Linked DNA regions of Callithrix jacchus. The protein of the gene in region 1 interacts with the protein of each later gene in a biochemical or structural test. Links are inferred from orthologs where the notes say so. Each region holds a gene or a part of one and is shown in the gene's direction. Other genes may lie near its edges.

Region 1 (4,437 bases):
ATGAAAGCTTGGTACCCATCAGAAGGAAAATAGCTACTCACTTTTGTTTGCATAAGCTTTTTAAAAAGTTTCTTTGTTTAAACTGTTCTTTGTATGTGCCAGGGTCTGGATTAATGGTGAAGAGGACTCTATTAGACCTGACAAACTGCTTGTAAAATCAAATGTCCATGCCACAAGTTAGGTTTTTACCATTTTTCTTTAGATGCATATTCTACCTGCACGTGTCTGGCAGAGGAAACAGAAGGGAGTAAATTTTGATAGTGAGTGTTTGAGGATAGAGCTGTTGTCTTGATAGGCTAGAACAGATGATATTTTAAGAACTTCAGTTCCTCCCCGTGATTTATTCTAGGTCAGCAATTCATCCTTGGGTCTGAGAAGGCACTTTTTTGATCCTGTCATTTCTACAGCTAAGCAAATAACTACCCAGTAATGAGAAAATGTACATAAATGTTTTTGTGAATTATATAAGATACTATATACAAATGTAAGGACTTTTTTTTTCTTCACTTGGCAATTTTTTTTTTTTTTTTTTTTTTTTTTTTTTTTTTTTAAGACAGGGACTTGTTCTGTAGCCCAGATTTCAGTGTAGTGGTCACATACTACAGACTCCAAATCCTGGACTCAAGCAATCCTTCTGCCTCAGCTTCCTGAGTAGCTGGAACTACAGGCGTGCACCACGACATTCGGCTAATTATTTTATTTTTTGTAGAGATAGTGTTTTGCTTCGTTCCCCAGCCTGGTCTCGAATTCCTGGGCTCAAGCAATTCTATCGCCTCGGCCTCCCAAAATGCTGGGATTACAGGCGTGAGCCATCGCGCCAGGCAGCTTTATGGATTTTGCAAGTCATTTTCTACCTCTAGGCTTTGGTTTCCTCATCTGCAAAATTGGGAGGCCCTGATTCTGACAGTTATAAAATTCCTGGAAGCAATGGAAAAGAATGTTATTTAGTACGATGCCGTGTGAGGAATTATGATAAGGTGGAGAAGGTGGGGTGTGTGCAGGGGTGAAGGACAGATCTGAGGACTGTGGGGCCGGCTGAGGGTTCGGGAAAGAGGCTCCTATTACAAATCTTATGGCTATAGGACCCACTCACACTTTTTGAGGTATCATTCCACCTTAGTCCCGGCCCCGCCTCAGCCTCACCTTTCTTTCGCTTCCGCCCCATCTCTTCCCCTCCCCTTCACTCACTTCTTTTTCCCTCTCCTCTGGCTGAGAAGTGCCACACTTCGTATGGCCGCCACCGTGCTCCGCTTTCCATTTCTCGAGGGCTGCGCGCGCTCTCATGCCGCACCTCACTCGCGTGTCGGCCCGCCCTCAGCCCCTTCCGATTGGCTTAATATGTAAGTGACGTAAGGGCTTCATCTACCCGCTAACTTATCCCTGGTTTGCCCCGCCTCCTCCTGGCTTCTGATGCGAGTGGAAACCTAACCTGCCCCGCCGCCGCCTCACGGGAGGAAGGCGTCGAAACCAGGAAGGCGATGGCGATGGCGATGGCGGTGGCGGTGGCGCGCGCGCACGCACGCACGCACGCACGCACGCACGCACGCCAGCGGCCGGCGGGGCAGCAGGCTCGCGCCCGGGCTCGCCCCGCGCCGCGCCAGAGGCTCGCGCACTCAGCAGGTTGGGCTGCGGCGGCGGCGGCAGCTGTGGAAGCTGAGGTGCTGCGCGTGAGAGGTCCCAGACACGTCTGCGGTTCCGGCTCCGCCACCTTCCGCCACTCTCACCCAGGTCTCGGAGCCGGGTGCTGAAGGAGGGAACGGCCCTAGCCTTGGGAAGCCAGAGCACACCCCTGGCTCCTGCTGACACCGCCCTCCTTCCCTTCCCAGCCGCGGGCCTCGCTCAGTGCTAGGCGACTCTGCGGGGAGGCGGCGGCTGCCAGTCTGTGGAGAGTCCTGCTGCCCTCCAGCCCTGCTCCTCCGTCGGGCCCTGCAGGGGCCGAGAGATCTCGGCGCCCGCCCTTCCGCTCGCCTTTTTCGTCAGCGGGTTGGAGCATCGTCGGTCCGGGAGGTCTCTGGGCTGAGGCGGCGGCAGCTCCTCTGGTTCCACCATGTCCGCAGGAGGAGACTTCGGGAATCCACTGAGGAAATTCAAGCTGGTGTTCCTGGGGGAGCAAAGCGGTGAGTGCGTGGCTCCCCCACTCCTGGCAGCTGGCCGCAGCGTCCCCGCACCGCCCCCGGTGCGGCCCTTCCGTCCGCGGAGGCTTCCTGCTCGCCTCGCGTCCGCGCTCGTTGCCACCGCAGCCCTTCCCGAAGTGCCCGCCGGTGCCATCAGCCCTCCGCCTGGATCCGTCGGTCGAGTTTTTACCCTCTTCCCCGGGCTCTTCGATCGTCTCCGTTCTCCGCAGGCCGGCCATCTCCGGTCGATCTGCCCTCCCTCCGCAGCCCTCACCCCGCCCAGCCTCTTGTCCATCCCTTTCTTCCTCCGGTCTCCGCCGTCTCCCCTACCCCGGCCTTCTTTCTTGAGCCCCACCCTTATTCTTTGCCCTTTTCCCAGTTCCTCGGCTCTGTGAGGCCCATTCAGGGAAGCTCCACTCCTGAGAGCGGGCCCTCTTCAACCTTGGCCAAGGAGGGTGGGATCTGGGCGTTGTTTTCCCCAGAGGCTTGGCTCTGAGAAGTACTGATGTCGTGGAAGGTGGGAAGGGGGGTGGTCGTAGAAAAAAAATATTACATGGTTTTCACCTTAGTGGGAAATTAGTCTGGAGGAAAACATCTGAATTGGAGGCGACTTGAGCATGGGGTAGTTGGGGGTGAAAGGGGTAGTGTCGGCAGAAGAGATTTTTGCCCCTTAGGTTACATTGGGCTGTGGCTTGTCGGAAAACCTCATTTTGTTTTCTTGACTTTCATCACTGACAATTCTTTTGGCAGTGTTGATTTTTCAGTCTCTGCCAGATGCTATGTCATGATCATTTTACTTGGAATTTTTCTCATCTCACCTCCCCTTTTTCTCGTTTCAACGTGAAGCAGCGTTTGAGTCTCATGGTGGTACAAATGGGAATTACTGGGGAAATGTTAATTATTCATTTCTTCTTGAGTATTTTCCAATGATAAATATATTGAGGATTCATGAGAGAGAAGACTTGGAATAACAAACATCTTTGTTTTCTCGGATTTCCTTTGGAAAATGGAGTACAGTAGGAATAGACTCATCATCTAGTTATCTGAATTCGATTTACATACGATTTGGGCTAAATGATTCTTTTATGCTTAATATTTCGTACTGTCTGATGAGTGAAATTGTTATGTCATTTACCTGGTCAGGTTATGTTATCACTGTACTTTTGTATTAGATACAGGATTCTAATTTTGTGATTGTTATTTCTACGATTACTTCGTGTAGTAATTCCAGTTTTCTGCTGTAGTATGCAAACTTGACACTCGACAATTTAGAGATGATTACCCTTCTTTGTTTTTCTCACACTTTTCATGATCATCTTTAAAATTCAGACATTGAGAGATTAGTTCTGAGTCATCAAACATTGAATTCCTACTATGTGTTTAGGTGAGGTTATAGAAAACATTAGTTATTTGTTTCGACTGGAAAGCATGTAAGTGATATAAATTCATAGATTTTATTACTACTTTGAACTACTTATTCTAATTCGTATGCCATGACAGGTTAATACTCTCGAAAAATTGCCTCCAGTTAGAACTAGGAAATAATTTTTCTTCTTTTATATGTAGATTATCCTCCCCTCCTCCCTTTTGGGAAAAAAATCCAATCTCCCTCCGTTTTGCTTATATATTTTCCTGGAGTAAGTATAAACTTGTGTCTTTAGGTGAGTAACTTGGTAGAACCTATGGAGTTGATTCTGGTCCAGCTATTATATGTCAACTTCAGGATACTTCTCAAAGATAGAGTTTTTTGGTCATTATTGATAAAAAGGATCCAAAGTGCTTATTGTGCATTCTAGGGATATTATTGTCTTCCTTAATGTTGTGATGCGCAGCTGTTTAGTTTGCATGAAAAACCCATTAATCTCCCTGTCTAAAAAGATTTTAGCATGAATGGAGAGCTTAATTTCCTATCTTCAGGTTTCCTTTGAATTTCTTATTTGTATATGTTCTAATTCATAATGAAGAGTTTTATGGCTTCTGATTTCTTACCTTGTTTAAGCCTCTACTACTCTTCCCCCTCCATTACTAAAGCTTGGTTAGATTTTTTTGTAATAGACTTTATTTTTTTGAACAGTTTTAGACTTACAGAAAAATTGAAAAGATTGCGCAGAGTTCCCATATACCCACACATCTAGTTTCCCCTCTTATTAACATCTTGCATTAGTATGGCACATTTGTTACAATTAATGAATTAATATTGGTATGTTATTATTAACTTAAGTTCATAGTTTATTCAGATTTTTAGTTTTAACCCAATGTACTTTTTCTGTTTCAGCATTCAATTCATGATATGAAGTTAATTATCTTTTGAGGTTACTATATT
Region 2 (3,252 bases), on another chromosome or scaffold:
ATCCCTCTTGCTCTGTCACCTGGGACAGAGGGTAGGAAGTAAGGAGTTGGGTGGAGTTGTGCCTCAAGATCTGTTCCCCAAGTTCACTCCTCAGAATCTTCACTCACTTTCTCTTTTCTCCTCTGTTTCTGACAGTGAACATTTGGACACCCAAAAGGAACTATTGGAGGAAATGTATGAAGAAAAACTAAATATCCTTAAGGAGTCACTGACAAGTTTTTACCAAGAAGAGATTCAGGTGAGTTGCCCTGAGCCAGCTCCAACTAACTGCTCAGATTTCCATCACTAGCTTGCCTGAAGTAGAGATTTTGTAAACTACTCCAGTAAGGGCAGGAATATATTTTCTCTATTCCTCTTAGTGCTTTGGGTTCAATCTATGTTTGGTGAATTGATTAAGGGTTTAGTTGGCCAGGAAATTGTATTAAGTGCTAACAACAGGTTTTCAAGGGATCAGTGTCACAAGTGCTTTGTTTGTCTGTTCAGTCATCTGCCTCGGCAATATTTTTCTGGCTCTGCACAGAATTGTGCTCTCTGCTTCCCTCTTAGGAGCGAGATGAAAAGATTGAAGAGCTAGAAGCTCTCTTGCAGGAAGCCAGACAACAGTCGGTGGCCCAACAGCAATCAGGGTCTGAATTGTCCCTACGGCGGTCACAAAGGTTGGCAGCTTCTGCCTCCACACAGCAGCTTCAGGAGGTTAAAGCTAAATTACAGCAGTGCAAGGCAGAGCTAAACTCCACCACTGAAGGTGAGGAAAGAGACAGGCAGGAAACATAACAGTGGTTCAGGGACGAGCTGTTACTCAAACCCAGGCCTTCTGACTCTTGCTCTAACATAATTTCCTAAACTGCAAGCTACAGCCCCCCTGACATTTTAGTCTAGGACGCACATAGCCTCACTTTTGATATTTGCTACAAGCTACTCTTAACTCAGTTGAAGAGATTGGGCCAAGGCTAAAAAAAAACCCCACATATTTTATAAAGTTTCCCGTTTCCTTCCCTCAGAGTTGCATAAGTATCAGAAAATGTTAGAACCGCCACCCTCAGCCAAGCCCTTCACCATTGATGTGGACAAGAAGTTAGAAGAGGGCCAGAAGGTAATTACCTTTCTCTGTTTACCATACTCTTACCTAAGGCAATTTCCCACATCCAACACTCTTATCACTGGTTCAGGGGAAGACAAGATGCTGGAGAGTGGCTATTTCACTCAGCTCACTACCCTTTCTAATTTTACTTCTCTTCAAATGGCTACCTGACCCCTCCAGATTATTATAGTGGTTGCTCTTGCCCACAATCTGATTCCTACTTCCCCTTTTTCAGAATATAAGGCTGCTGCGGACAGAGCTTCAGAAACTTGGTGAGTCTCTCCAATCAGCAGAGAGAGCTTGTTGCCACAGCACTGGGGCAGGAAAACTTCGTCAAGCCTTGACCACTTGTGATGACATCTTAATAAAACAGGTTAGGGCAAACTACCCACTTCTCTCCTCCTAGCCCACTCCAGTGTATATGTGAGAAAGGAAAGGGGACCAGAAGAAAAAGGTAAAGATTTTTAGGCTGAACTTAGAGTGACAGCAGTATATTTGCAAAATAAAAATAACTATTTTTTTGTTAAGCATTTACTAAGGACCAGGAACTATGCTAAGTAATTTATAGGCATTTTCTGTCACAACCACCTTAGGGAGGAGTTACTGTTATATTTCATCTAAAAAACCATTGTTTTATGTACTACTAAGAAAAAAAACTAACAATTTAGCTATGACATTTCTCATCAGTAAGATGCATCCTGGTTCCAGAGATATTAAAACTGTCTATCTTAAACTAAGCTCAACATTTAATTTGATATCTAGAGACTACGGTGCTTAGAAATTAAATTTACTCAAGCTCATACCACCTTATGGGTTAGAAGATGTCCTATTCAGCACTGCTTATATTTTGGTCTCAGAAAATGCCCCCTTATCTAGTTATAAGCTCTGACCTTAAAGAGTTTTAATCTTTAAAGAAACAGTCATTAATAACTGTTAGTAATGGGTGGTTATGTATTAGCCCTGTTGTTTCTCTAATCTACCAGACAAAAGTGTTTTTTATAACTTTATTGATCTTCCTTAGGACCAGACTCTGGCTGAACTGCAGAACAACATGGTGCTAGTCAAACTGGACCTTCGGAAGAAGGCAGCATGTATTGCTGAGCAGTATCATACGGTGCTAAAACTCCAAGGCCAGGTTTCTGCCAAAAAGCGCCTTGGTAACAACCAGGAAAACCAGCAACCAAACCAACCGCCCCCAGGGAAGAAACCATTTCTTCGAAATTTACTTCCCCGGACACCAACCTGCCAAAGCTCAACAGACTGCAGCCCTTATGCCCGGATCCTACGCTCACGGCGCTCCCCTTTACTCAAATCCGGGCCTTTTGGCAAAAAGTACTAAGGCTGTGGGGAAAGAGAAGAGCAGTCATGGCCCTGAGGTGGGTCAGCTACTCTTCTGAAGAAATAGGTCCCTTTTAAGCTTTACCATATATCAGGTTTTTTCCCACTTTTTGTATTATAATCACCTATGTAATCTCATTTTTTTTTTTTTTTACTTATACGGTTTCTATGCACACACAAAAAAGTTATATTAAAGATATTATTGTTCACATTTTTTATTGAATTCCAAATGTAGCAAAACCATTAAAACAAATTATAAAGGCGACAGAAAAATTGAGAATCAAACATCATTGTGGACCATGGGGAACCTTGAAAAAGCATGGCAGTGGAGACTAGTAACTAGTATACAGCTCGCCTAAGAAGGCTTAGTAAGAAATGAATTCAAGTAGTATTAGATATTCTAAACCTTCCTTAATATAAGATGAAGTGTCATATGTTAGGAGGTAAAAAGGTAACACAAATTTCTGGGAATAAGAATGAAGTCTGGACCCTGAGCTCAGAATGATCCATAGCATCTACTGTACAAATTCATTACAGCAGACATAGCATATTACCTCCTGCTGCATACATATGCACAGGCCTGAAACTCCAAGAGCACCACAAGAATGATTTCCTTTATCTCATCTAGATAAAGGCTGAAAAAATGTATTCTGTTGCAGATGGGAGGGAAAAAATAATAGACAATTACATTGAAAATTCATTAAAACAGATCAGCTTGAAGTGAGTTTATTCTTGTAGAGTCACAAACATTATTTCCAAATGTCTGTGAAATTATCTATAATCCTACCTCCTTGCTTTGCTTTGGTAGGAGTATAGCTAACAATATAGCCATC
Region 3 (3,650 bases), on another chromosome or scaffold:
CAGCACTTTTGGAGGCCAAGGTGGGCAAATCACCAGGTTAGGAGATCGAGACCATCCTGGCCATGGTGAAACCCTGTCTCTACTAAAATACAAAAAATCAGCCAGTTGTGGTGGCGCACGCCTGTAGTCCTAGCTACGCAGTAGGCTGAGGCAGGGGAATCGCTTGAACCCAGAAGATGGAGGTTGAAGTGAGCCGAGATCATGCCACTGCACTCCAGCCTGGTGACAGAGCAAGACTCTGTTTAAAAAAAAAAAAAAAATTGACACTGAAATTTTATATATGTAGTGATTTCATATATGTAGTGATGTAGTGATTTTATGTACACTGCAATTTCATGTATACCTATGTTTAATGAGACAGTGTTTTTGGACACTTCAGTGTTTTTCATCACACAGTAATACCATCTATATAAATGTATCACATTATTTAAATTAATTACTAACATTTCAACTTCCTATTTTGGACTGAAGGAATTGAATTGATTTATAAATTGTTCTTTTAGCCCTAAAATTCTGTATGTATTCTCTGCCTTTTATATTAAAAAGTATTAAAAGCAGGGCACAGTGGCTCATGCCTGTAATCCCAGTGCTTTGGGAGGCTGAGGCAGGGGGATAGCATGAGCCTAGGAGTTCAAGACCAGCATGGATAACATAGCAAGACCCTTTCTCTATACACACACAAAATTAGTCAGGTCCACATGTGGCATGCACCTGTGGTCCCAGCTACTCAGGACACTGAGGTGGAAGGATCACTTGAGCCTGGGAGGCAGAGGCTACAGTAAGCCATGATTGTGCCACTACGTTCCATTCCAGTGTGGGTGACAGAGTGACACCCTGTCTTAAAAAAAGACAAAAGCTATCAATGTACTGCATGTTTATTTTAGGGACTAAATGCTTATTTTTAAGGGGATGGTTAAAGTACTCAGCATTATTTAGTAAGTTAAAGCCTTAGGTTTTAAACCTGATTTGGAGTTGAGCTCTGGGAAGGAAAGGATGATTGATTCATAGGCACCCTGAGACAGTCACGTACGATTTGAAAAGCAGATGTACTCTAAGGCTATCAAAATAAAAATAACACCAAGTACTATGCTTATCTCTTAAAGTCATGTTGTTTTCTGCAAGGTGTTAAAAATGAAAATAAGATTGTTCTAATAACATTGAAGTTTCATGAGTATATGTGTATGATACAAGAGAGATTGATGGGTAACACAAGTGAGATTGTTGGGTGACTACTTGCAGTATAATTTTTTTTAAATTATGTACTTTTAGATTGATTTACCAGACTGCTGAAATAAAAAACACTCCAGTTTAATCTGAAATAATGGGAACGTTGGCTCTGCTGCCGTGATTTTAAATGTATACATGCCCAATTGTGACTGGATTAAGTTCATCATTGGCATTGCATTGAAGTCATTCAGAGACTCTCTTTTGCCATTGCAGGTAGAGCGGGAAAAGGCCATTCTTTTGGCCAACCTACAGGAGTCACAGACACAGCTGGAACACACCAAGGGGGCACTGACAGAGCAGCATGAGCGGGTGCACCGGCTCACAGAGCATGTCAATGCCATGAGGGGCCTGCAAAGCAGCAAGGAGCTCAAGGCCGAGCTGGACGGGGAGAAGGGCCGGGACTCAGGGGAGGAGGCCCATGACTATGAGGTGGACATCAATGGCTTAGAGATCCTTGAATGCAAATACAGGGTGGCAGTAACTGAGGTGATTGATCTGAAAGCAGAAATTAAGGCCTTAAAGGAGAAATATAATAAATCTGTAGAAAACTACACTGACGAGAAGGCCAAGTATGAGAGTAAAATCCAGATGTATGATGAGCAGGTGACAAACCTTGAGAAGACCACCAAGGAGAGTGGTGAGAAGATGGCCCACATGGAGAAGGAGTTGCAAAAGATGACCAGCATAGCCAACGAAAATCACAATACCCTTAATACGGCCCAGGATGAGTTAGTGACGTTCAGTGAGGAGTTAGCTCAGCTTTACCACCACGTGTGTCTGTGTAATAATGAAACTCCCAACAGGGTCATGCTGGATTACTATAGGCAGAGCAGAGTCACCCGCAGTGGCAGCCTGAAAGGGCCTGATGATCCCAGAGGACTTTTGTCCCCACGATTAGCCAGGCGGGGTGTGTCATCCCCAGTAGAAACAAGGACCTCATCTGAACCAGTTGCAAAGGAAAACACAGAGGCCAGCAAAGAACCAAGCCCAACTAAGACCCCCACAATCTCTCCTGTTATTACTGCCCCACCGTCATCTCCAGTATTGGATACAAGTGACATCCGCAAAGAGCCAATGAATATCTACAACCTTAATGCCATAATCCGGGACCAAATCAAGCATCTGCAGAAAGCTGTGGACCGGTCCTTGCAACTGTCTCGCCAAAGAGCAGCGGCTCGGGAGCTAGCCCCCATGATTGATAAAGACAAAGAAGCCTTAATGGAAGAGATCCTCAAGCTCAAGTCCCTGCTGAGCACCAAACGAGAGCAGATCGCCACGTTGAGGGCAGTACTGAAAGCCAACAAGCAGGTAATCTCATTGTGCAGGTGAAAGCTTGCTAGTCAAAGCTTTCTTAGCTAATTCATTCCCTAATTTTATTGAGTGTCCAGTATCATCAAGATGACAGTTCAGATTCTTTGTCAGTGGAGAAATAAAACCATGTCCCAGTGCCAGATCAGAATGTCATAATAATTATTATGTTTAAATGAGTGAGTGGCTGAAATATCCATGCCCAGCTAGGTAGAGGCAGAGGTGAGGAGGTTAAAGCAGCAACACAGAGGACCCAGATGCCTTTCTGCAGATAGAGAAAGGCAGTTCAGGTGGTCCTGGGCTGAAGCCTGGCAGTGAGTGACTGCGGAAACAGGAGATGGAGGTTGGCAGAATAAGCTGACAAGGCAGGTTATACCAGCTAGGGAGATACAGCAAGAAAGACAGACAGCCTGCAGGCAGCTGGAGCAAACAAAAAGAAATCTGGGTGCAGACAGTGAAGAAGATCTGATGGTCAGTAACTGGAACCCAGCTTTGGACCTGGAGGTTCAGATTCAAGACTCAGTTTCTAGGGGTATAGCAAGATTATTATTTTTTTATTATTATTATTGTTTTGAGACAGTCTCGCTCTTGCCCAGGCTGGAGTGCAGTGGCGCCATCTCGGCTCACTGCCACCACCACCTCCAGAGTTCAAGCGATTCTCCTGCCTCAGCCTCCCAAGTATCAGGGATTACAGGCATGTGCCACCATGCCTGGATAATTTTTTGTATTTTCAGTAGAGACAGGATTTCGCCATACTGTCTAGGCTGGTCTTGAACTCCTGACCTCAAGTGATCTGCCCGCCTCAGCCTCCCAAAGTGTTGGGATTACAGGCGTGAGCCACCGCACCCTGCTAAGTATAGCAAGATTAAAAGGAGTGTTTTGTTTTTCATCCCAAACTTAGAGAAACAAAAGTGCTAAATAAATGAGCAAGTAAGGGATGAAGGGCAAGGCAGCTGTGAGGAACTGAGTGCGAAACAAAGCCAGGCAGGTCGTTAACCAACTAATTAAATAGTTTGGGGCCACTTTAGCAAGCAAATGAGAGAGCAAGAGAGACAAAGTGAGAGATATTAGGAGAGTGAGCTCTACCTGTGCTGGTGACCGCATATCTGAAATTT

The links. The genes of interacting proteins can lie anywhere in the genome.
Region 2: the proteins of RAB6A (region 1) and KIF20A form a complex in vitro, tested with the Homo sapiens proteins (2 studies listed by BioGRID). The link is inferred for Callithrix jacchus from reciprocal best matches to the Homo sapiens genes RAB6A and KIF20A.
Region 3: the proteins of RAB6A (region 1) and BICD1 form a complex in vitro, tested with the Homo sapiens proteins (3 studies listed by BioGRID). The link is inferred for Callithrix jacchus from reciprocal best matches to the Homo sapiens genes RAB6A and BICD1.

Annotation. Positions count from the first base shown.
Region 1 is NC_133511.1:67,212,019-67,216,455, forward strand, and holds the start of RAB6A (ras-related protein Rab-6A), read left to right. Parts: upstream 1-1,599; 5' UTR 1,600-2,047; coding exon 2,048-2,117; intron 2,118-4,437. UniProt on the Homo sapiens protein: The small GTPases Rab are key regulators of intracellular membrane trafficking, from the formation of transport vesicles to their fusion with membranes.
Region 2 is NC_133503.1:36,593,400-36,596,651, forward strand, and holds the end of KIF20A (kinesin-like protein KIF20A), read left to right. Parts: intron 1-135; coding exon 136-238; intron 239-546; coding exon 547-745; intron 746-1,001; coding exon 1,002-1,093; intron 1,094-1,316; coding exon 1,317-1,454; intron 1,455-2,102; coding exon 2,103-2,420; 3' UTR 2,421-2,630; downstream 2,631-3,252. UniProt on the Homo sapiens protein: Mitotic kinesin required for chromosome passenger complex (CPC)-mediated cytokinesis. Following phosphorylation by PLK1, involved in recruitment of PLK1 to the central spindle. Interacts with guanosine triphosphate (GTP)-bound forms of RAB6A and RAB6B.
Region 3 is NC_133510.1:39,163,108-39,166,757, reverse strand, and holds part of BICD1 (protein bicaudal D homolog 1), read left to right. Parts: intron 1-1,440; coding exon 1,441-2,535; intron 2,536-3,650. UniProt on the Homo sapiens protein: Regulates coat complex coatomer protein I (COPI)-independent Golgi-endoplasmic reticulum transport by recruiting the dynein-dynactin motor complex.